Linked DNA regions of Oryzias latipes. The protein of the gene in region 1 purifies or fractionates together with the protein of each later gene. This does not show direct contact. Links are inferred from orthologs where the notes say so. Each region holds a gene or a part of one and is shown in the gene's direction. Other genes may lie near its edges.

Region 1 (5,240 bases):
TGGCAGAAGAAAAGGCAGGGTTGTGCACAGTGATTTAGTAAGGCACATATTTAACTTTGAAAAATGTCTACCCTTTTACACAACTTACTAATCTATAAGCAGACTTTATGACAAACATCTGGTATGGAAAAACTGGCCTATCTCTGTTTGGAACTGTTTGCTTTTAAAGTATTTTAGTATTATTTTTGATTACTTTTTGGACAAGTCGGTTCTGTCACAGACACCAATATCAGTGAACATAGTTAGGCTGTTTGTGAGCTATAATGTGCACCACGCCTGAACCAAATTATCTAGTTCAGTTACAGTTTAGACTTCTGAATGCAGTTTAGAAGAGACTGAATTTCATAAAAGGTTAAACAAAAAAGAAACATTTGTACATTAAAATCAATATACTATTTTTTTTAAGACAAAACATAGAAGCATGCAGCATTTTAGGGATAGTATTTAATTGTTGGACTATTATTGTACACTTTGGGGGAAAAAAAGTTAAATTGTATTTTGAAGGAGACAAAAATAAGAGATGAAAAGCTCTACTGTAAAATGCTAAGAGGAATCATTAACATTTCATGCCATGCAAAATACAATCAGCCATCTCAGATCTGTCTGTTTACATTGTTGCTTAAGAGCCATTAGTGTTGCAGTATCAAGTTGCCAAAACATGTCTACTGGTTGTCTATCCCATGCAGTCTTATTGCCCGAAATATCACCTGTACAGCTCCACAAGCATGTCTGTTTAGCTTGAATTATAAAATTTGAGTTTCTGCTTTCATGAAAACAGGAAGAAGGAAGGCAGTGGTAACAAACACACACATAATTTAAGTTGTAGAGGAACTTCGATATTGCGCTCAGTTCTGACAGAAAATTATCATAAAACACTCACCACAGCCACCCCTTCCAACCCCTACCATGTCCAAGAAGATAGTAGCACCAAAGTAAATTTCACCTTACATTGTACAATATAGTGTACCAAAAAAAGAAAAGGAAAAATTCTTATTTTCATAATTTTAACAGCGTATAAATGCAATAATTCAGGTAGGACTATTCATTTAGCACATGTGCTGTAGCAAGTTAAATTGCATAGATGATGTAATAATGTTTGGTGTTGACGATGGCGATGTTGGTGACAATACATGATGCCAATGATGATGATAGTTATCATTGTGTCTGTTAGAATGATACGAAGGATATTTTATTATTCTATATTTTAACTGATTTTCATAATGCAGCCCGGCTTTTGTCCCCAAATGTCTAAATGTAAAAAAGGAAGAGTTTAAACTTCAGCCTCAATAAAAGAAGTGAACCAGTCTGAATTATTTTTTTAAATGCACAAGAATTATCAAAGCAATTATATTAGTAGAAATGTGAGTTTCAGTTAAATTTATGATCTTGTAAGTTCTACCCTGTGACAGACTGGCGACCTGTCCACAAGTGGTCGAGATAGGCTCCGGCAGCCCCGTGACCCCGAAAGGGAAAAACGGTTAAGAAAATGAATGAATGAATGAATCTTGTAAGTTCAAGAGAGTTTTAACATGGACTGCCAACAAATATAAAAAAGGAATTGGGTACCGGTACTTTTGAATACTGGTATGTTGAGAAATCTAGATGAGACTAAGGCTTAGATCAGATTTACATTTGATTTATGTTCACAACTTTTTTTTTCTGCAAATGAAAATAAGGAAAGACAGTTAAAGATTAGTTAATAAACAGCAACAGTTTCACAGAAAGTATTGGCTAATAAGCTATCCAAATGAAAATATTTAAACTTGAAAATGAAAGCTGTAGATCTACAGTCAAGATTAGAAAAAGAGGATTTTTTTGGGATTTGCATTTTATGCCAATTCCCAAATAAGGATTTTTTATTTTATTTTACTCACATGACTGTGGCAACATTAGAATGTTTTCTAAATTATTGCAGAGAAATCCTCAAATAACAAAAAGTAATATTTGCATATAGACAAATGTTGGTGAATACATATACCATATAAATGTAGTTGTTTCCTTATCATAGAACATGAATGTGTAGGTGATTTAAATTAAAGCATTTAATCATTGGACACATATGTCGTCTGGGATTAACTGGTATTATTACAGACCCACCCAGAGAGATGTGATTTTATTTTGGTTTGAGGAACAGATTTCTCAATATTTGAGGGCCGATGCAGGTTGTATTTAGACAATGTGCTACCTTCTTTAAAAAAAAAAAAATATATATATATATATATATATATATATATATATATATATATATATATATATATATATATATATATATATATAGTAAAAATGCAAATCGTACGCGTCAGTTTTTGTAACAAATACTTTTACGCGATAAAATAATTTTTTTGTTAAATCCTAAAGTTGTGTTTTACATACAGAAAATGAACACACAGCAGTTAAACTCAACAGCATTGTTTACCTAAATTTAGTGGTTTATTTAAATTAGTTTTATTTTGTAGGATCACATCCGGAAGCTCTGTATTACACCGGAAATGGTTATTTGAGCTGTGATGTTTATATCGTCAACGGTTAAACTTTGTCTCTACTATTATTACAAATAACGCTGTTTAAGTGTTGGACAAACTTGACCAATAAAGGTGAGTTAACAACTTCCTTTTTTAACGTAATGTTACTAATATTTTTATTTCATTTGTACCCGAGTTTGGGAAGCATGTGAACGACGGCGTGCTGCTAGGCTAGCTGCATGTACGCGGCTAGCGTTGGCCTTTCTTTTTGTTTTTTAAATCTCAGTAATTTAAACACAAGTTACTTAATTATATTATATCGTTTACAGAAATTGTAGCGCAAGATATTTGCGTTCATTTTAGTTACGACGTTCCTAAACAACGTGTTGGTACCTTCCTTTAGAAGTATTTGCTAGCATCATAAGCGGAATTATGTTGTAGGAACATGTGTAACATAATTACCCTTTCTCAGATATGACCATATTCATATTGGCATGTTTTTGTTTATTTAATTTTTTTTTATTATTGATTTGATTGTTGATTATATTATTTATTGTGGATTGAATATCTTAGTTTGGCTCCTTCTTCAAGCATCCAGAAATGATTATCCCGGTGAGGTGTTTCACTTGTGGGAAGATCGTGGGGAACAAATGGGAAGCCTACCTTGGTCTTCTTCAGGCCGAATACACTGAAGGGTGAGACAGATGCGCTTCATTTTCATTTTACCTTCATGTTTCGTTCGTTCAACAATGTGTCACCGTAATGCTATATGGTCAAGTTTTCTGAAACTAAATAAAGGCCTTCATTCAACCTCTACTCCTCCTGTTTCACTGTCAGTCAAGATGTTAGTTTGAATTCAGACCATTTGAGGATACAACATTTAAAACTAACTATAGAAATGTTTTTTTTTTTTTTTTCTGTAATTATGCAAGCAATATCTGGCACTAAAATTACTTTTCCATCTTCCCTTTTCTAGTGATGCTCTTGATGCCCTGGGCCTGAAGAGGTACTGCTGTCGGAGGATGCTGCTTTCCCATGTGGATCTTATTGAGAAATTGTTAAATTATGCACCGCTGGAAAAATTTTAGCTGGAAGAACATGCTTTGAACATGGCCTGTGCATATATTCAGTGTTTAAGAAATGTCAACAATAATGACTTGGTGTATTGTGCACATATGTGGCAATGAAAATTTTATTTAAATAAAGTTTTTTCTTTAAAGTATTCGATTCACTGAGTTGAGATGCCATCTAATTTTTGAGGCGTTGAGTTAAATCGCTCAACCTTTCACTTTATGTACTTATGAAAACATGCAAACAAATAATGTTATACTATTCAACAGCAGAGCACATAAGACGAGAATACTTTGGGATTTTTTTTAATTGTAGATTTTCTACCAAAAGAAATGTGAAATTACAATGATTACAGAAAGAATTGTTATGGTGCATGCAAACAAAGTCTTATTTTACAAGAAAAAATCTACAGCCAATTTTTGTTAAAACAAGTCCTATTATATAAAGGAAGAACAAAACCGTGTTCTCAGATTGAACAAACAATCCTTGATTCTTTTATATACAACTCGACGCAACAATGCTCCTCTGCCTCCAATCTGGGGAAGCAAGAACAAAACATCGTCATGGCGGTTGGAACTTTAACTCTTGAAGAGTTATAGTGAATGTGCAGAAGGTTTTCAGCAAATTACAATGCCACTTTGTTACCAACAATTAAAATGTTTACAACAATTTATTTATAATAGAGCATTTGGAAAAAGCAAACTCTCATAATGCCCTTTCAAGTTTTAAATTGGTCCAAAGCAAATTACAGATTTTTTTTAACAATCACACAGCACAACTGCTGTTGAGATGTGTAACTAAGATTCAGTTGTGATAAATAAAGCCATTTCAAACAGCAAAAAGAGCAGAATTCAGACAGTGGATTTGTTTTGATTAAATTATATAGAAAAAAGAATGTGGCTGGTGAATTGGCCTCCTGATTTTTTTTATAAATTACGCTCATAAAAGCGTGACTTAAAATAACTTGAAATCTCCCCTCTGCATTTTTCTGGTCACAATTGAAATAGCTGTATTGAAAAAAACTCTGGGTTTAAATAAATATTAATCGATTTCAAACTGATTTTCATCTTTGAGAAGCTGTTGTTGATAAATGAAATCCATAAGTGCTGTTTGCTATAAAGCAGTTTTTTCAAAGACAAAAACAATTTAATGTTAGAATTATTTTAATAAAATTCCAACTTTTCTCATTTTATTCAAATTAAAGCAAAAATGGCCACGCATAAAAGCGTTATTTACATCACTAGTTATGTGGAACTAAGAATTTTCCAGTGAAACTTAAAAAAGAAGTGCAAAATTCATAAAGTAATGGCTTATGTATTTATTACCGTTCCCCGTTAGCGGTGTCGATCCCTTTGCTGTTCTCGAGACCACCTCTTGTCCCTTTCTTCACTCCAGGAACGCTCCCTGCGTCTCTGGGACATTCCCGCACTTTCCCCGCTATGGAAGTAATCTCTGTCGCGATCTCTGTGCCGCTCTCTGTCGCGCTCCCGTTCTCTATCCCGCTCCCTCTCTCTGTCACGACCTCTTTCTTTTTCTCTAGAATGACTACTTCTTCTAGAGGGAAAAACCATTGAAATGGGAATAAAACTCATTAAACAGCAAATGTGTTATTAAATGGTTAGTTTCAAGTGAGTCAAAAGCATTCAAATGAAGAAATGTACACACCTGTAGCCATAATCCCCCTGAATGGAGACCAAACAGTCTTTA
Region 2 (6,491 bases), on another chromosome or scaffold:
CTGGCCAGAGAAGCGGAAATGTACCAGAAGGGGGGCCACAACCTGGCTGCAGACCCTCAGAGAGCAGGTCTGAGCCCAGACTGTTAAGGGAGAATATCAAAAACTCTAGAGAGACTTTGATATTTCCAATCTGAAGGGAACAGAATAAACGTTATTACAACCCTGCTACTGTGTGAATGCAAAGCTTCATATGTACAGACTTCCACTCATAGCTATGGTCATTTAGTCAGTCTTGTGACCTGCGTCTGTAACATTTTCCCTCCCTTTGTGTCTCTGCAGGTGACCTGTTCACAGAGGCTGCAGAAGCCGCCATGGCGGCCATGAAAGGTCGCCTGGCCAACCAGTACTACATGAAAGCTGAAGAGGCCTGGGCAGAAGTTGAGGAGTAACTAAAGAGGTGGCAATATTTTCTGTTTGACTTTTTGTCGCTTATTTTTTAATTAATTTAGCTTAACGCTTGAATGATTTTGGATAATATAAATTTTATGGCAGAATTTTTGCTGTTGCCGGTTTGGGTGTGTGAGTGAGTGCTAAGCCGCTGATGATCATTCTTGTTTTGTTTTTTTTTATCTCTTCAAATGTGAAAGTAATCATCCTGACCTCTTTTCTCTCTCATTTCCTGTCTTTGGTTAATTTAAATGAATACGGTTGTGTAAAAAAAAAAAGGTTATTTACAAAAAAAATGGAACAAAGAAGACTGTTTACTTATCTTTCTTTAATAAACGTTTATGCATTTATGTCTGAAAGATGTATGTGCAAAATATGTACAAGAATTTAAAAATAAAGTTTGCATTGGTTTATATGAGCCATGCTTCCTTTGTGATCATTCCCTTCATTTGTAATTGAGTTATTTGTAGTTTCTGTGAGAAACAAAGCCACTTTTGAATTTTCTATAAAATCTCTCCTTTTCATCTTCCTCAATAAAACCAAAGCACACAAAAAAAAGTCATGGACTACATCCATAATTCTTCTGTTTTGCTCATCTTCTGGGACTCCAAAATCTTCAACAAACCATCTCAATCTGCTTGATTGATTTAATTTAGATTAGTTAAGTTTATGAATTTATAGCTGAGGTGCAACGATAGAAGATAAACTATGTAAAGGTTTTTATATTCCTGCTGACATCCTGAGGCCTTGATTGTTCTACTCTTCCTCCAGAGTGCACTGATTTAAAATATATTGATTGAAAAGTTGGATATTTTTCTGATTTCTCAGTTTATGAGCTTAAATCGCATATTTTCTTAGGCTGCATAATTTTTTCCTTTTTCTTTCTATCAAATCATAAACTAATTGAGTTGTGTTTATGTTCAGGTTAACAGCAGGAGTAAGTAAGAAAAATAATGACGACTCACCAAAATAGACCTACGGTATAACAAGAGAAGATTTCCTTTTTGCCTTGAATTGTTTAAACCTTTTATAGGAGTCCGTTAGCTGCTCCAGGATAATCCGGTTTGGCACAGGAAGTCTTTTATTTTAAAAGGAAAACATGCCAGCTTCTGTGAAAAGTAAAAAACAATTTCACATTTTGAGAAAACGCAAGTTTTTCTTTGAATCCGTTGTGCAATCCTAGGCACTTTAACATTGGGCGTTGGGTCATCTAGACCCCACAAGATTCTTCAATGATTTGTGATCTTCACTGGTGTCCATGGATTACATGAAATCCTCTTCACCTTTATCCACCTTTGTCATGGTAGGGAGAACACGTCAATGGTCATCTTGACCCCATAGGATAGCACAAGGGGTATTTGTGCTTTTTCAAGTCAAAAAATTAATATACCGGTAATTCATATTTATTACAAAAATAACAAAGTAATGAATGCAAAGCAAATATCAAATTTTCCTAAAGACTTTGTGGCTCCTACTACTCCAACACATAAAAGGTCAAATGGCTTTTTAAGTGTTGATGGTTGCAGACCTCTGCTTTAAACCAACAACATGGCTGCTCTCTCACCATCTTCTACACCTTTCCTTTCATTCTTGCTAACATTTTTCTTTTGTCTCACATCATACCTAAACCTTCCTCCACCCATTACAACCTGTCTGCATATGCCTCTACAACCAATCTGTTGTTCTAGACTGGAAATCCTCCCCATCTTCTGCAGCGGACCTTCAGTCCTCTCCTTTCCACGTCAAACCCCCACCTCTCTAGTTGTTCTTCCACTTCCTTTCTGCTTTCAATGCATGTCATTTGCAGACATCATGGTCCACAGAGATTTCTGTCTAACTTCATCTGTCAGTCTGTTCATCACCACACAAACAAGGAAGACCATCTCACCACTGCCTCACACCTCTCATACATGTCCAATTTCCATTGGCACCCTGTGGATGACTGTACCATTGGTGGTTGTTGTTACACCTTTGCCACGATTAGTATAAAATTTATTGTTGTAGTTTGCACGACTGTATTGACTTTGGTTTTACTGGGTGCCCTTCATGACACAACCCTTTGTATTTACAAACCATCTCACAATTCCCTGTTTAAAATTGAACCGTGTGTTTCACCATTGAACTGAACAAAATCGTGGAGAAAGTGAATTGTTGCATCTCGACTGGATACCACTAGGGTGACGTTGAGTGACAATGAGTTGTTTTAAATTTAACACAACTGATTGACACTCAATTGTGTTAAATGTAGGAAGTATTTATTGATTCTTTATTCTTTAAGTAAATTATACCAGTCTTAGTGTAACCCAGGTATAAAAGGTTTCTCTTCATTGGTACTTACCTATTTCCAAATAAAAAAAAAACTTTTCCGAATGTCTCGGTTCTTGTTGTTTCGTGATACACAATTCATATATACATATACGGCACGTATATATATATGTCCCATGTCCTTTAGCCGGACATGGGACAGGTAATGCGTCGTGCAGCCTTGTGGTTGCATTTATAATTGAACATGAATAGGCAGCGTTCAGCTGCCTATGGACTATGATGACACATTTTCCTTCGCAATGCATCACGGTAGCGTGGCCGAGCGGTCTAAGGCGCTGGATTAAGGCTCCAGTCTCTTCGGGGGCGTGGGTTCGAATCCCACCGCTGCCAAGAATTCTTTTTGGTACGTCGTTGTTTTTCCTCAACGCTTGATCTAACAGTTAAAGAAAACACATGCAGAACGAATTAGTGAATAAAAGGTAAGTTAAAGTAAATAGGTTATAAAGACACGTGACAGTGCTCAGTTCCGCAGTTTGGTCCGAATAGCATTATTTGCACGAGCACGTCCAACTCCCCACGTGTCTGTTGAAACAGCGTCAACATCATGGTACCTCAAGCCCGGTAGTTTGCTTCAAGTCTAGTAGTTCACTCATGGACTGTTCTTGAACGTGTTATATATTTAAACTGCAGGGGGTGAGCAGGTGAGGCCTCACGCTGTTTCTATGGGGATGCCACATGTCCAAAGTGCTAAATCTGATGTTTTGTCTTGTTTATCATAAATCTCTGATGTGTGTGTTAGCACGCTAAGCTACATTACTCTGGTTAGCTTAGCTACAGCCTACCTTCAGTTTTGGAATTTTCAGAAAACTCCACAGTTAAAAGTGTCGTTCGTCTCTGTCTACTTAAGCGCGTATTTGTAAAGAAATGTTATTTTGAGTGTCTCTGTTGTGGGGGCCTGTGGCTAGTAATTTAAAGAGCTGATGCTTGCTAGGCTAATGAAGCTAACGAAGCAAGAACTATCTGACTTTTCTGAACTGTGGGCCTGCAGAAAATTGTGTAACCAACATAAATCACAGATTGACAAGGATGCTGGACGTCGTTTGTATTTAGGGAAGTGAAAAACTTCAATTTTTTGGATGGTTGCGTACTATTACATCAGTTTCGCCGTGATGGGTCCGTGAAAGCATCATCTGACATGCTGCATCATCACAGATTAGTTTAGATCGCATATAGATACAGAAATGTAACTTGTTATACGTTTAACTACCAATGAAACACTTTTTTTTTTTTTTACAAATATAATGTACATCTGGATTACTAGGACTTCTGTTAAACCTTTCTGTTCTTTTGGATTACCTGCTGTAGCATATTAAAAGCAGTGTTAATCAATGACGGATTCTTGCTTTGCATTTATTTTGTCCAGGTTGAAGTCCTCTGATATATCACTGCTGCTCCCCTGATCCTATAGATATGGCCAGTGGAGATGAAGATGATCCAATTATAGAGGAGGTATGTTTACGTCTGGAATTTAAATAAAGTTTCAATCCTCTTCTGATCACTGCTATGCAGCAACTTTGAGCCATGAGAAATATGTATTTGAATGAATGAATTAAACTTTATTGATCTCAAAAATAAGGAAATGACCATGTTTATGGGTAAATGTAGTTCCCATTAAACTAGCATGTATTAGTGTTTGTTTTAAGCTAATTTGAAGACGTTTTTCTGTGGTCTGCGGTCGATTGAAAAACAATCCAACATGCTGTTGTCTAACAATTCATCTGTGTTTACACTGTGACCTTCTCTAAAGAGAATGGAAACTACTGACAGCCTCTGAAATCGGTCACATATTTACATTAAACAACATTAACAGTATTAGGCAAGTGGTTTGGTTTTTCCAAACGCATTTTAATTAGAGTGGTTAATTTTCACATACATGTCCTCCATCATCATAAAAAAAAAAAACAATTTTCATCAGAGTGTGGGTCATCAGTTTCTTTGGGAAACCCCCCCAAAAAAGAAGAGCCTCTGAGTTTTGCAGCATTTTTCCTATAACCTGATCTGCAGGATTGCATATTGAGCCATATGTACAAAAAGGAGTGCCGCTGCTTTGGGGTTTTCAACTGGAAATGTCTCCTTCAGTTTACACTTGGTGTGGGAGTTTTAGTGTGTAGATTAGCAGGTGGTTTGTACAAAATGCCCAAGGAAGCCTTTTGTGCCATTGTTTAAGAGAAGTTGTTGTGTTTAAGAGGCAGATGTATTCATAGGCAGAAAAACCTTTTTGGTATTGTTTATTAATATGTTTTCAAAAAAACTATTTTTTAATTGACTTTTTGTGTACTTATGTTTCATGCACTTTAGGAAGCAACGTTATGTATGTAAAGTGCTAAACAAATAATGTTTAGTTTAACAATTTTCTTATTTATTATGTTTTAAGACATTTTATTTAGATAACTACATGAATAGAAATGCAGTTAAGACTCATATAATATTACGTTGAAAACCTTGAAGCTCAGAGTCATTTGTGCAGAGTGGAAAAGTCTGATTTTCATTTGTGTGTTTCTGTAGATTGACGTGTACCTCGCCAAAAGCCTCGCAGATAAGCTCTATCTTTTCCAGGTAAGCATTTCCTTCATTATTGTGCCTGTTTTTATATTCTGCTTAAAACCTTTTACTTTCCTCATGGTCAATGCTTTTTATTTTTATTTTTTTATTTATTTTTTTTACTGTTAAATGGAAGTCAGTTGAATGTGTTAGTCACATAAATATACACATAAAAAGGAAAAATTGAATTCAAAATTATTATTCTTTTTCTGTTTTGAGAGCCACAAACATAATGAATAAGCATTTTTTCTGCCCTTTCAGATGTTTTGTTGAAAATGTGTAACTTGCACCAAACCCATTTCAATTATCTTGATTTTAATGAAATGTTTCTGTTAAAATTTGTTCTTCAAAATGTTCCTTTTTTAGTCATTTATTCCTTAAGCTTTTAATTATTTATCTTTAATAACAGATTAATAAAATAGTATTTTTTCTAAACTTTGATAGTTGAAAAAAAGCTCTCCTCTGGCTTGTTGTGTTGACTCATCGTTTAATCTTTCGTTTTTTGTGCAGTATCCTGTCCGGCCGGCTATTATGACCTATGACAAAGTCACTCATCTGGCGGCTAAGATCAAACCCAAACAACAGAGGGTGAACAAGCTCTAAACTCCAATTTTTTTTCATCTTCATGTGCTGTTTTGGTCATTACAGAAGTCCCACTCTTGTCATGTTTGCTCATATACATTTTTTTTCCAGTTTGATTTCTTGAAGTAGAGTCTTACTAACTCATTATCACGAGAATAAAAAGAACGGATTTCAGGACATAACAGAATTAAATTACATCTTCATCACGACTTTAAAATGAAATACCTCAAGAAAGCATTTTAAAAAGTAGATTATTATTGGAGACCACTAATTTTTCTGCTCAAATGGCTGTTTTCAAATTCATTTATGATCGACAACTAGATCACAACTAAAGTAATCCATTAAAGGTTAAAGATAAATCTATTTTTTTCCTAGATCTTCTCATATTTGTGACAAACTGTTAAGCGTTTCTATTAAACGTATCCTATGATGCCAAGAAAACAGAAAACCGTTTTCATCAGATTTTGACTTAATTACTTGTTTGCTCGAGAAAATGAGCTGTCATTTTGTTTCGTTACCTTAAGAAAGCAGTGTTTATCTCGCAACTTAAGTCGTTATCTCAAGAATATAGTCGTATAGTTTTGTTTTAACACTTTCTTCAGGTATACTTTAAACTTTCAATGCTCACATTTTCACTCATTTGTGGTCATCAGAAG
Region 3 (6,364 bases), on another chromosome or scaffold:
TTTCCATAAAAAATCCTTGCATTCTTACATAACTGACACTTCTAGAACAAAAGGTGTGAACAAAGTTGGGTGAAAACACCAAATACTAATTATGAATCCACAGTTCATCTCTTGAAGCTTGCAGAAATGATACATCACAACTTAACAGGAAGGAATCTCACAAACTACATAGATGTGCCTACATTAGTGATATCTTCAGGGCACTTAAAGCATCAATATGCATACTCTTATTTAAAAATGTCTTACTTGTTTGAAGCCAGAGTTTGCAAAGCCAAGACAAACAGCTCCAGTTCCTTATTTTTGCCTTCCTCTTGTCTGCTGGGATGCTGGCGATGACAGATCCCTCAGGAAAACTGATTGGGAGGTGAAACAAACACACACACACACACACTCCTCTCCTCCTCTTCTTCCTTCTTCGTCCCGACTGTTTCTCGCACTCTGCATCACACAAACAGTCTAACCCCACCTCCCCTTTTCCACCCTCCCTCCCCCTCCTCCCAATCTCATTTTTTGCTCCAAGCATTGCATGATGTTTACTTCACTTCTGTGCACCCACAATGGATAAATAAATACCCAGATAAAAAAAAATAAAAACTCCAACCGCCGTGTGACCTTAGTCGGATTTGCACTCAACCTCATCAGCATCACCATTTCGCCAGCCAACCATACACTACCCATCACTTGGCAGTAAATCTGCCCCGAAGTGCAGAATCACTTAGCTGCTTTCATAAATGTCAGCTCTCAAACATGGAGATGCAGTGAGTGCTGGAAGGGAAACACATAGCATAACCATCATGACATACTATGCTGGCTTTTCCAAAAAGATTAATCTCTCAGTATTTTCCTGAGGATTACATGGAACACCATCAAGACCTCAAAAAATATACATGGGCCAACTGTTATGCCATATGGCCTTACTCGACAGGGCTTCCTCCCCCAGCCTATCCCAGAGCGAGCGATACGACACTGTAAGTCCCAAGTAAGCAGATTTTTACCAGCACTCATTGTCAAAACGATGTTGTTGTTGTTGATTTTTTTTTCTCTTGTTGTTCCAGCCTCAAAGGACAACTCAGTGTAGGATTATTTTAAAGATTAAATAAAAGCTCTTTCAGATTTATGGACTAATCGGCTACTGAAAGAATTGATATAAACATGGGAAAGGGTCCAAAGTGAGAGTGTATTCTTTTCAACGACCTATATTACTTGTATTTCAGAAATGGCCATGGTGTGTTGCCATAATTCCACAGACAGTGTGCGGTACTGAAGAGTCTAATTTACTTTCAGTCAGCAGCAGAGAACTGATGCCCTCAGAATGTAATTAAACTGCAATCATCCATCATCAGTCATGGCAATTCCGACTGTTCATGAAATCCTTTCTGCTCTGGAGATGAGTACACACTTTTGTCTTTGAAGAGACCCATTGAAAAGGATACATTGACTCCTTCTGCTTGGCAAATTTTTCATTTTGTGTATATAGAACATAAAAAAACATACATTTTTCTTGCCAAGTTATTCTTAAAAGAAAAAAAATCGTCATTAAACTTGGAGTTTCAAACATCATCTAAACTCTATATCTTGAATTCCCCTTTAATATTTTCTCACACTAAACCATACTCTAATGACATGCAGCTCATAAAAAGGTAACCTAAACTTTCCCTGTTTGATCAAATTGATTTATTTAACTGCATCTATTTATATTTTTCACATATTAAAAACAAATATTTTCTTTGCACTCTGAAGGCCTATTGGATGTTTCCTTTAACAGATTATTTGTATTATTACTATATCACACAGTAGGAACATTCATTACTTATATCACAAACTCTATTTTAATTCCTTAAAAATGTAAAGATGTGAGTTTCCATTTAGAGTTTATATTAGATTTAATCTGTTTAACTGCATGGAAATATTTAATCTTACTGTTTTATTTAACTGCATGCAGTTGTTTGCATAAGGTAGCAAATGGATAGTTCAGTTGGCTCTGTGTAGGACTGGATCATGGGAAACCAGGATCCGCTTCCCAGGGGCCACAATGAACTTGATGCAGTGTGGGCCCTTAGGCAAGACCCTTTGTTGTACTGCGTAACTATGCAGCCACAAGGGGGCCCAAGTCTAGGTTCCCCTGTGCCGGTCCCCAGCTAGGATAAAATACAGGGTTGTGTCAGGAAGATCATCTGGCGCAAAAATCTCTGCAAAGCTACCTGTGAGAATCAGGGAAAGCTGATTCGCTGTCGAGACCCCAGAAGGAATATGCTGAAAGGCGAGAAATATAAAAGCGTGAATGTTGCATAAGACTATTTTGCTGTAAGACAGAAAATAACCAAGGAAACAAGTGCCCAAACAAATGAAATATTTATTATTATTATTATTATTATTATTATTATTATTATTATTATTATTATTATTATTATTATTATTATTATTATTATTATTATTGTTAGTAGTAGTAGTAATATAATCAGTTCCCTTAGCATGTCAGAGGAAAATAACATCTTTAGAAAAAAAAAATTTCCAATCTCGAAATATGCCATATCTTTTGGTTCTTCACATCTGAGACATTTATTTCAAAACATTCAATAACATTAATCCATGCAAAAGATTTTTATGAATCTGACAAAACTTGCAGGAAAACTAATGCACGATATGTCAGAACTCAAAATATAATTTTCATTTAGCTGTTTTAGGAAACATTTGGAAAGACTAGTATAATCGTTTATCTAATCTTATCTTTTTTATGACAGTGAATTTTTTTGGACTGTGGATTCTGAAATAAAACATAAAAATAAAACAAAATAATGTTTCTAAGCATGCGCGTTTTTCTGCGCATGTTTGATCCTCGAGAGCAAGTTGAAGCCAAAGCGGAAGTGTCATGGCGCCGCTAGTGAATGCAGCGGTGGACGAGGCAACAGGATTTTGTTTCTGATATCTGGCAGGTTTTAGGGGGGAAAACTCCGAATAAGGACCACCGAGGACGTGTCGTGTAAGTTTTTGGAGAACTGCAATATGTTAAGACTTCCTCTGGACAGCTTTCGCGTTGTTTGTGATCTATCTTACTAGCCACGTGTTTCTGTAACATTTTTCTTCATTCATCGTATGTAAATACTGGTTGTGTATTTAAATCACTGACAAATATCATTGTAAACACAATTTATTCTCAATGCTTAGACTCGAAAGTTTAAGAAATCATTCCTAATTAATGTCTTGAATTGCTTACGTTCAGAACCACAACAGAGTAAAAAAGATAAAAAGAAAAAGGTTACAGAACGGACTGAAAGTATATTTTTGTTTATCCCGGTATTATTACAAATTACATTAATGTAAACCTCAATAACATTAATTTTAGGTATGGGGTCTAATGATTAATTAATAAAGTGACACATCAAAACAGATTTTGTGGCTGAAACAAGTTGATAATGGATTCAAATCGAACTGTACCATTATAAAATCCTTTCAAAATTATATTAAATTGATAATCGATCTTGGAAAGTACCATTCAGATACATGCTTGGTTTTTTAACTATAGCGTAAAAACGACGTGATGGTGATGTTAGCAAAGAAATGTCAAAGCATCATTCCATTGCAATGTGTGGAAAAACAATTAATTTAGAAAAGACATGTGACCATAATCACAATAGTGTTCAGAAAAACAGCAGAAATCATTGATCGATTTTCTGGTCTTGTTACAAACTAACCAACCTCCAGCTGGCACAGAAACATGCCCTCTTGACTGTGAAGGAATTGAGCGTCCCCGCACAACAAATCAAACATACCCTGTAAGACGCGCATGCTCAATGTGTTTGTTTAGGGAAATAACAGAATTCTTTTTTTTAATTGGACAATTGCAACATACAGAACAAGAGAATGCAACAATTATGCACATATAATGTACAGTAGAATAAACGTGTTACAACATTAAGAAAATTTTAATTATTAGAAGCAATCACAAAAGGCAATAACAAATAAAAATAAATAAATAAAATAAAACTAAACAAAGAAAAAAATAAAATAAAGTTAAAAAAAAATAATAATAAAAAGAGAAAATACGAGAGTAAACTTATATCAGTAGTCCAAAAAATTTACAAATTTCAATTGTTTTTTGAGCTTTTGTATTTTTTGAAGATGAAATTAAGTTTAAATATTGCTGCAGTTCAAGTGACAGAATTTGTGGACATGAAGGGAGGGACACGCAAATCCCCTTTTGTAGCGATGATAAGACACTAAAAATCTTTTCTTTATCTTTTTGCTAATTTTAGTGTCACGTGCTGTTGAGCATTGCTAATTTTCTTGCAAAGATGTATTACAAAAACAAGTGCGTTGATCTTATTTTGCGAGATAACAGCTGGTTCTTTTAAATTTTGGCATAGGGGCCAAAAAAACAAAACAAAAGAACTTCTAGCCTGTAGCTTTACTTTGAAATCCAATGATTGGCGACACACGAGGATGAGGGGCCATAAATAAACGTCACAGCTGAGATCACCTGGTCAGAACACAGTACTTTCTCAGGAAGTTGAGGCAGGCCCTCTTCTTTCAGGAACTGCTGGTCAGGTTTTATAAGGCCAACAATGAGGGTTCAGTTCTAGTGCCGCGCTGTCTGAAGGCACAACAGAGGACAGGAAGACCGTGCAGGAAGTAGTAAGAACAGAGGGGAGGGGGATAGGAAGTGCACTACCAGACTGATTGGGAAAGAGTTGTATTTGGAAAGATGCCACACACCCTGGACATTACGTAACTGTTTTAAAGGCACACGCCAACAGAATCCAGAGTAGTGTTTCACCTGGCAGTAAAATGTGTGCAACCTCCTCATAAAGACATTTGAAAACAATTTTTATGTAATATTTGTGTATTTTCCTTTTAAACATCACCATTGTCTGAGAGAGATGATGATGAGTATTATTGTTGGCCACCAGGTTGGGAGTTTGACATCCCTTTAAAGTTCAGGATGGCGGACTCCGGGGAGTCCAGCAGTCAACGCGTTCCCACTCCTGCAGGCGCCAGCAGCAGCAATGTAGGACTCCAGATGGGGCGTCGACCACCAGCTGGACTCTCTCCTGGACGCCTCCCTTCCATGCGGTCAAGGGACCTCACCCTGGGAGGAGTGAAGAAGGTTAGCATCATACCTCACTCGCCATTTAATCTTTGGGTTAGGAATTGTGTTAGATGAGTTAATCACACCAGATATATTAAGAAACCCTTCTGTAGCTTCTTTTGCCCTACTTGCAATCATGATTTTTTTTTTCTAGATTTCAAAAATAAACAGCTTTTCTTATTACTCATTTATCTTTTTTTTAATTTTATAGAAAACCTTCACACCCAACATCATTGGCCGAAAGGTTAAAGAGGAGTAAGTTGATTTTATTTCTAGGATTGAAAAATGCAGTGAAGAACAAATAAAATTCGTGTAAACTGAAGCTTTAACTGTTTTAAAAAAAAAATTTTTGGTTGCAACAGAGCCAAAGTTGAGACTGATCAAAGGAGAGATCGGAGAGGTGGAGAACGTGGTCGAGGGCCGAGAGACAGAGGCAGGGGCCGAGGTCGCCAAGAGATCATCCAGTCCCATTCTATCTTTGAGCAGGGGCCGGCCGAGATGATGATGAAAAGGAGAGGTGGGGGGCCAGCAGGACTAGCATATGCAGTTTGCTGCTGCAGCTGAACTGCCATTTTTAAAGTTTCAAATGATTTATCCCCCCCCCCCCCCCCCCCCCCCCCTCATAGGTGGATATGAAAGCGAAAGAGATGCTCCAAGCATGGGGCCTTCACCCATCATTAACATTAAAAAGGAGAAGAGGGAGACTGAAGAGGAGACGAAGGAAATTCTGCGCAAGCTGGAGCGGGACAATGTACGTCCATCCTTCTCTTAGTTACAACCATCACAGACTTTCACCAAAAGGCATTTCTCTCTTTTTTTTTCTCGTTCCCCTTCTTGCAGTTTATTGATGACCCCTTCCTAAAGAGTGAGCAGAGGAGTTGCCCTGTCCAGCTCCCCCTTTCTGTGTCAGGATGGGGATTTAGGGAGGAGTTTAGTAAATCTACTGTCAAACTTGAGAAGTCAGAAGAGGGGGATGATCCCATGGAGTCTGGAGTCGTTGGTAACTACAGAAACTTTTATCTGTACAGCTCATTTCTGGCAGTTTTTATAGTTACCCAAAACAGGAAATTGTGTGCATTCATAATATCTGTATTTGAAGTGGCCTTTTTTTTTTGTTATTAAAACGCCACATTATCCTGTCTGCAGTGAAACAAGAGCCAGAGGAAGTGGAGATACAGAAGAGTGAGGCAACATTTAGACCTCCTCCCCTTCCTGAGCCTGAAGTTCTTCCTGATCTGCTTCATAAGTGGAGTCTAAACAAAGGAGAGGAGCTGTTTT
Region 4 (6,366 bases), on another chromosome or scaffold:
GATCAAAAAATGGGGGGAAAACTCAAAAATTAATCATAATTTAATATGATCAGAGTCAAACGTACCTCTGCAAACTGTGTGGCTGTGTCATCTATCCCATTTGCACCGCCGTCTAGAAGACTAATGAAAGCAACACAAACAGGGGAGGTACAACAATCTCAATAAACGCGTACTAAACTGATCAACTAAAAGGTCACGCTGGAAGAAGATTCAATAAACAGATAACTGACAGAGCAACAAACATGTATTCACTTTTAAGGTTCTGTTCCAGAAACAGAGGTCTCTTACCTGGAATCCTCTGTTACTTCCTCTATGAAACCTGAATCACATCTTGGACAGATGTATTCCTGCAAGAAAAAGAACAAGGACAGAGTCACGCTTATTTATAAAGGCTGAGGAAAAAAAGAGACAACTAAACATCGAACTATGGCCACATTTTTCATTTCAATTGGGTTTCAGCACATCAGAAAGAAAAAAAAGTAACATTTAGATGTAAAAACTTGGTTTTACATTTAGTATACATCCTATTGAAGATGCCAAACACAATACAAGTAAAAAAGATTCAAATGACAGTAGATATTTCAACACACCAATGTGTACGATGTTAACATCCTGGTTTAAGGGCTGTTGAAAGTACATTAGAAATACTATAAGCAAACATGTCCATCATTAAGACTTTCCAGTTAAATGTACTTTTAATTGTTTACATCTTAATATGTTGAAAAACAGACATTTTAAAAGCCTGTGCAACTGTTTTCATGAGCCAAACCATTTTTGGGCTTGTGTTTTATTAATGTAAAATACAACACATATCGTGATACTTCAAAGGATAATTGTTAAGAAAAATGTATGATGTTTTTTTTTTTTTGATTGGCTGATTAAAAGCATAAATAATGACTTTCATTTAGTGTTTCAACATATGAATGCAACCAAAGAGGTACGGCTGGTCTGCCAACCACACCTTAGGGGGAGGGCGTTCAAAACCAGCATGACAGCTTGGAGCAAACACAACCAGCAAGCAGCCTTTGCAGCAGGATGGATCATATGTTGTCCTCTCATTTAAAGATAGAGCTTTTCACTCAGGGGAACAGGATTGAGGTCACTTAGCATAAAAACAAAGTTGTAAGCCATTACGGCAACACCTGAAGTACAATACTTGTAGCATTAAAAAGTGGGTCACAACAATAATGTCTTTTTAGATTGTAGTTCACTCGATTTGGAGTGCTAAATATACAAATGAAATTCACAAATGTTCTTAAGGTTGAATTGAAAAAAAAAGTGACTATGAATTACAGAAATTATTTTGGTCAAAGCCTTTGAATTCAGATTTACTCACAAAACTCACACAATTACTTGTAATAAATAAATGTTATGTATTGTTTTGTTGATTTTTATAATTTACTTTATATTTCAGGTTTAAAAAATGTTTGATATTATCTTTGCAGTTGCTTGATCCAACACAGAAAAAGAAAATCACAAAGAGACAAGTGAGTAAATCCAGAATTAGTGACCAATTATCTGAAATTTAAAAATAATGGGGAGGCAATAGTCACAGCTCTGTTTCCAGTTTACTGGTCGATTAAACAAATAGACGTTTGGATGTTTATTTTTACTTTATGGCACAGTAAATCACAGAACCCTCCATCTCTGTATCAGTCTAACAGATTGCTTCTAAGAAGCTAACAGGTTGCACTTTTTAATTTAAACTTTCAGTCAAAATCTAGACACAACATAAAGCAGTGTTTCCTAAAATTCGGGTTATATAACAAAATTCATTTACTCAATACATCAGCCAGTTATAAGCTAAATTTATAAAACATGTAAGAGAACACATTCATGTTAGAAATTCAGATATTTCTGGTATTTATTTTAACCTGTCCAAATTTTTTCTTGTCCAAAATGAAATACTATAATCATTATCATCAACAAAATAACTTATATTTCAATGATTGAAAAATGTGTGTCAATTTTTATTTATTTACCAAGGAACATTTGTTTCAAAAACACAAAACGGAGTCAACAAGAGAAAAAAAACTACAAATAAAAAAACAAACACTTACAGTTAGTTAAATGTTTTTGTAAAAACGTAGGAATGTCCTTTTAAATAAATGGCCTTTTAAAGAATATTTGTAAAATAGTAATAGTAGGCCATTTAAACGCCTCTTCTGCCGACATTGTTACGTTTGACTTTAACACTAAAACTGAAAGTAAACCACAACGTATGACATCTACAGAAAACTTCCCCTGCTTATACTGCCACTGCTGTTAACAGAAACAAAAACTAAATGTGTATATATACTGAAAAGGAAAATCTGAGTGACAGTTTATGAATAAATAAACTCTCAGATTAATTCGGGCTGTTTTGTTCAAAAACATGCATCTATCATTTACCACCAAGCACACAACTTCTACCTTGAAGCACAGAGATTAGCGTAAGTATTTTAAAACAGGCACGAATAACAAGACCTACTATCGTTAGTTTTAAGAGTAGCTTAGTTTCCCCTAAAACGACTAACCGGAGTTTCTTTACTGACTTAACAACAACAAACACTGCTATATGCTAATAGCCTATGGGCTTAGCTGTAGCAAGAAGTAGCCGAAACAAACAGCTACCTGCCGGAAGGCAGACTTGTCAGCCGCGCATAACACTCAACATAAAATGAGCGAATAACCAAAAATAACGCGACTTACCGGGAGTTTGGGATTTACTTCTCCCTTACAACAGTGACAGAAAAACCGATGCGAGGGAACAGCCGCAGCCTCCGCCATCTTCCCGGAGCAGCACAAACACTGACGTCGGTCCTCCACTAGCTGAAGGGAGCTGTCCGCCCCCAGCCCGGCATGCACTGCGGCACTGTTGTCGAATCACAGCAAGCAAAAAACCGGGAGCGGAAGTGTCTGTTTGTTGTCATCGACTAGCCTCATGCGCTAAACTATCTGCACGGAGTCTGCTTTCATTGCGAGATCTGAAATCGAAAAAGGTTTGTGAAAAAAAAAAAATGCCAGGCTTATACCATCAAATATTCAGAGATAATTTAGTAAATTCCCAGCATGCAATTGTAATTTTACTATCCAAAAGCCCAAGGGGGAAAGAACTTGAACAACTGTTGACTTTTCAAATTAGAAGAGATAGTTTACATGCACTGTATGCTATAAGGGAAACTACTTAATGACCGATCTAACTTTTTATTTTTAGATTTTACCTGTTGGAATAAGTGGTGCCTGTTTTAACAAAGTAAAATACTATTATTGTTGTTTGTAGTTCGTAAACTAGATGTATAGAGATAACATAACTAAAAAAAGTGCTGTTTATTGAAAAACTAAACTGAACTAAAATAAAATTGATTTATTGTTTATATTGGTTCATGTTGAACGATCAAATCCGATCCGATTCACTGATCTAAAATCGATCCAGAACATCTTTAGCCAAGAATTCAACCAGTGGGACTCAGAAAATAAATACCTGGATTCTGAACAGTGCAGGGGAAGTTTTCCACATTCCCTGTATTTTTTTGCAACATAATTAAGTGTAAATTAAACATGTTTACAAACAAACAAGTAAAAAAGAATGAATGGACAGTTTTACCTACATTTTGCTGCCATTCGATGTGTTGTCTGTTTTAACGTTATAGTTAGAAAAAAAGCCTACTGTGCCTTAATCCAAATGGTATTTTCCAATATTGATAATAATTGATTTATTTCCTTTTAAAATTAATTCATATTGGTATAGTTTGATTCGATTAACATCTTGCCTCAGATGGATGAATCGATTCATCTTTACAGCCTACTAAAAGCACATGCATTAGTTCTTATTATTAACTTAGTGGTTTTCATTGAACTGTTGGTGTGTTTGTGCAGATGACAGCCCAGGAGGTCCGTCTGTGTGGTCTTCTGCTGCAGGAGCACTTTGGAGAAGTGGTGGAGAAAGTGGGAAGAAATCTGCTCAAAAGTGGAACGCAAAATTTAAGAGCCATTGTTCATGAAACTGGCTTGTCAGTGGATCTGGTAGGTCAACGCAAGACTGAGATTGCATTCGCTGTAGTCAGATGTTCTTTGAAAAATAATCAAAATTATTCATTATTTGAATTATTATTCAAAGCAAACGGTCACATATATTACTATGTCCCTTGCAATATGGCAAAAGTTAGTTCTTTAAAGATATTTGAACAATAAGAGAAACAAAATTATAATGTAATTATTCAGGTAATATATATTCATATTTGAAAACAGTTTTACCTGAAACTGATTGCTTATCAGTTTTTTGTCAATACAATACAGTGATGTCTGGTAATGTTCATGTACTTTAACAGGACTTCTTCTTCTTTCATCAAGGTAAAGAAGTCTCTGTGCGTTCTTGTGCAACATGGAGCCTGTTCGTTTATTCAAGGTCGAAAAGGACCGGGGAGCCCGACGGAATACAAAGCCCACTGCGATCGGGTACTGAGAATTCTGCGCTACCCACGTTACATATACACAGCCAAAACGCTGTACGGCGACACCGGTGAGCTTATCATAGAGGAGCTGCTGCAGAGGGGCCACATGACGATGAGCAACACAGTTAAGACAGTCGCAGACCGTCTAACTCAGAGTATGGACGGTGAGCATCAGAATCAAACAAAAGACTGTCCATAAAAGAGATGATCTGTTTTCTGAAGGTTTTTTTTTCAGTTAAGCTTTGGATTGAGGCCTAAAATATCGCGATCAGTAGATTCATTTTCTAATGAATACTTCCTTTGATGTTTTGTTGATACAGAGGGGTCGAGCATGGATTATGGTGAAGTGTCCGCCACCTTTTCCAAACTGGTAGAGACTCATTTTCTCCAGCGCTGTCCCCCAGCAGCAGGAGCAGGAACGACAGGGAGCAGTCAGACTGCCAATTCGACTTCTGCAGCTCCTGCCAGCAGCACTGCACCCACACCGGAAAGCTTCCCCGACTGCTACAGGGTTCCTCAAGTGACACTCATAGGCCGGAGCAAACGCTCGCTCGCCAGCGAGGAAGGAGAGGACCAAAGAAATGCGAAAAAAGCGAAAATGGACCCAGAGGTCAGAGAGACGTTTGTTAAAGCAAGATGTTCACTGCATATGCTAAGACTTCTATGGTTGTGACTTCTGTTTGTCTTCTCATAACTTGGATCTTTGGTGCTCAGACTCATGGGGATGAGGGGATTTACTGGCAGGTGAACTTTGAACGGTTCCACCAGCATTTCCGGGATCAGACTATCATCAGTGCTGTCGCCAACAAACTAGATCAGGTGGGAATTCCACAAAACATTTCAAACTAACCATTTTTTTTATTCATTAAAAGAAAAACAGGTTTTGAAAAATAATTGCCTAGAAAAAAAAACCCAAATACATTTCCTCAGTGTATAATTATTTGATGGTTAAAAGTAAAAATGAATAGTATTTGAAAACCCTCTTTGTATGGCTGAAGGAATTTAGCATAAGCATTTGGTTGTTTGATAAGACTATCTGACTTTGAAGTATTGACCTTAAAATCAAAGAAAATTCAAATTTTAAATGAAATAAAGTGATAGTTTTTGGAAGTACTCCTAATAATTCCTCTTTTTTCTTGGATTGTTCTCTGTGCTTTAAATACTACAGCTTTTTACATTTATTTCATTATTAATTATTTATTATTATTATTTATTATTAACTAGCTGTCTTCTCACATCTTTCCTACCCAGACCAGCAGTGAAATAGTGAGAACCATGCTGAGGATGAGTGAGGTGACAACCTCTTCCACTGCCCCGTGCACAAAACCCCTTTCAGCCAATGAGATCTTCAGGTCCCTCCCAGCTACTTACAACATCCCCCGCCATATATTGGACCAGTACCTCACTCTGCTGGTGGATGACCCTGTAGGTCCTCCTCATCTCAAATATCTCTCTGATTTTTGCTTGGCTCCCCACAAAATGCTCAAAAAGTTTCCCACTTTTCCTTCCTAAGATGGAGTTTGTGGGGAAGGCTGGGGAAAGTGGAGGAGGAATGTATATTGTCAGTATCCTTTCTGCTCACTTGAAGGTTCAAACCATCCCACAGGTGTGCGTGTCATTCGCTACTAAACCCAAAACAAAAGCTTTCCCTAACTTTTCTGTCAGATCTGAACCAAGCATTGGCTAACCTGGCACGGGCCACCCTGGAGTCCATCGTACAAGAGAGGTACACCAGTGTGTGTGTTTGCTCTCCACACATACGGTTGCTATTGGGCTCCCATTGTTAATAAGATACCTTTTATTCATCCTCAGATTTGGCTCCAGATCAGCGCGCATCTTCCGCCTGTTGCTACGGAAACGTCATCTGGAGCAGAAGCAAGTGGAGGATTTCGCCATGATTCCAGCAAAAGAGGCTAAAGACATGTTGTACACT

The links. Proteins that work in one complex are often made in the same cells at the same time.
Region 2: the proteins of polr2l (region 1) and polr3e purify together in Homo sapiens (affinity purification with mass spectrometry; 4 studies listed by BioGRID and IntAct, with this or other methods). This does not show direct contact. The link is inferred for Oryzias latipes from reciprocal best matches to the Homo sapiens genes POLR2L and POLR3E.
Region 3: the proteins of polr2l (region 1) and polr3d purify together in Homo sapiens (affinity purification with mass spectrometry; 3 studies listed by BioGRID and IntAct, counting the BioPlex papers as one, with this or other methods). This does not show direct contact. The link is inferred for Oryzias latipes from reciprocal best matches to the Homo sapiens genes POLR2L and POLR3D.
Region 4: the proteins of polr2l (region 1) and polr3c purify together in Homo sapiens (co-immunoprecipitation; 3 studies listed by BioGRID and IntAct, with this or other methods). This does not show direct contact. The link is inferred for Oryzias latipes from reciprocal best matches to the Homo sapiens genes POLR2L and POLR3C.

What each region holds. Positions count from the first base shown.
Region 1 is NC_019861.2:18,859,702-18,864,941, reverse strand, and holds polr2l (DNA-directed RNA polymerases I, II, and III subunit RPABC5), read left to right. Parts: upstream 1-2,462; 5' UTR 2,463-2,594; intron 2,595-3,035; exon of another isoform or gene 3,036-3,053; 5' UTR 3,054-3,062; coding exon 3,063-3,157; intron 3,158-3,438; coding exon 3,439-3,550; 3' UTR 3,551-3,689; downstream 3,690-5,240. Other genes in the region: cpsf7 (cleavage and polyadenylation specificity factor subunit 7), read right to left, coding at 4,868-5,087, 5,199-5,240. UniProt on the Homo sapiens protein: DNA-dependent RNA polymerase catalyzes the transcription of DNA into RNA using the four ribonucleoside triphosphates as substrates.
Region 2 is NC_019877.2:13,142,273-13,148,763, reverse strand, and holds the start of polr3e (DNA-directed RNA polymerase III subunit RPC5), read left to right. Parts: upstream 1-2,987; 5' UTR 2,988-3,055; exon of another isoform or gene 3,056-3,131; intron 3,132-3,187; exon of another isoform or gene 3,188-3,353; intron 3,354-4,075; 5' UTR 4,076-4,122; coding exon 4,123-4,161; intron 4,162-5,217; coding exon 5,218-5,268; intron 5,269-5,763; coding exon 5,764-5,841; intron 5,842-6,491. Other genes in the region: eef2k (eukaryotic elongation factor 2 kinase), read left to right, coding at 1-67, 280-389. UniProt on the Homo sapiens protein: DNA-dependent RNA polymerase catalyzes the transcription of DNA into RNA using the four ribonucleoside triphosphates as substrates.
Region 3 is NC_019867.2:17,410,893-17,417,256, reverse strand, and holds the start of polr3d (DNA-directed RNA polymerase III subunit RPC4), read left to right. Parts: upstream 1-2,860; 5' UTR 2,861-2,980; intron 2,981-4,907; 5' UTR 4,908-4,939; coding exon 4,940-5,104; intron 5,105-5,297; coding exon 5,298-5,341; intron 5,342-5,448; coding exon 5,449-5,603; intron 5,604-5,712; coding exon 5,713-5,837; intron 5,838-5,926; coding exon 5,927-6,086; intron 6,087-6,232; coding exon 6,233-6,364. UniProt on the Homo sapiens protein: DNA-dependent RNA polymerase catalyzes the transcription of DNA into RNA using the four ribonucleoside triphosphates as substrates.
Region 4 is NC_019874.2:18,838,698-18,845,063, forward strand, and holds the start of polr3c (DNA-directed RNA polymerase III subunit RPC3), read left to right. Parts: upstream 1-2,862; 5' UTR 2,863-2,981; intron 2,982-3,858; coding exon 3,859-4,005; intron 4,006-4,332; coding exon 4,333-4,597; intron 4,598-4,753; coding exon 4,754-5,043; intron 5,044-5,147; coding exon 5,148-5,252; intron 5,253-5,684; coding exon 5,685-5,858; intron 5,859-5,946; coding exon 5,947-5,998; intron 5,999-6,098; coding exon 6,099-6,159; intron 6,160-6,245; coding exon 6,246-6,366. Other genes in the region: E3 ubiquitin-protein ligase RNF115, read right to left, coding at 66-120, 289-347, 2,692-2,769. UniProt on the Homo sapiens protein: DNA-dependent RNA polymerase catalyzes the transcription of DNA into RNA using the four ribonucleoside triphosphates as substrates.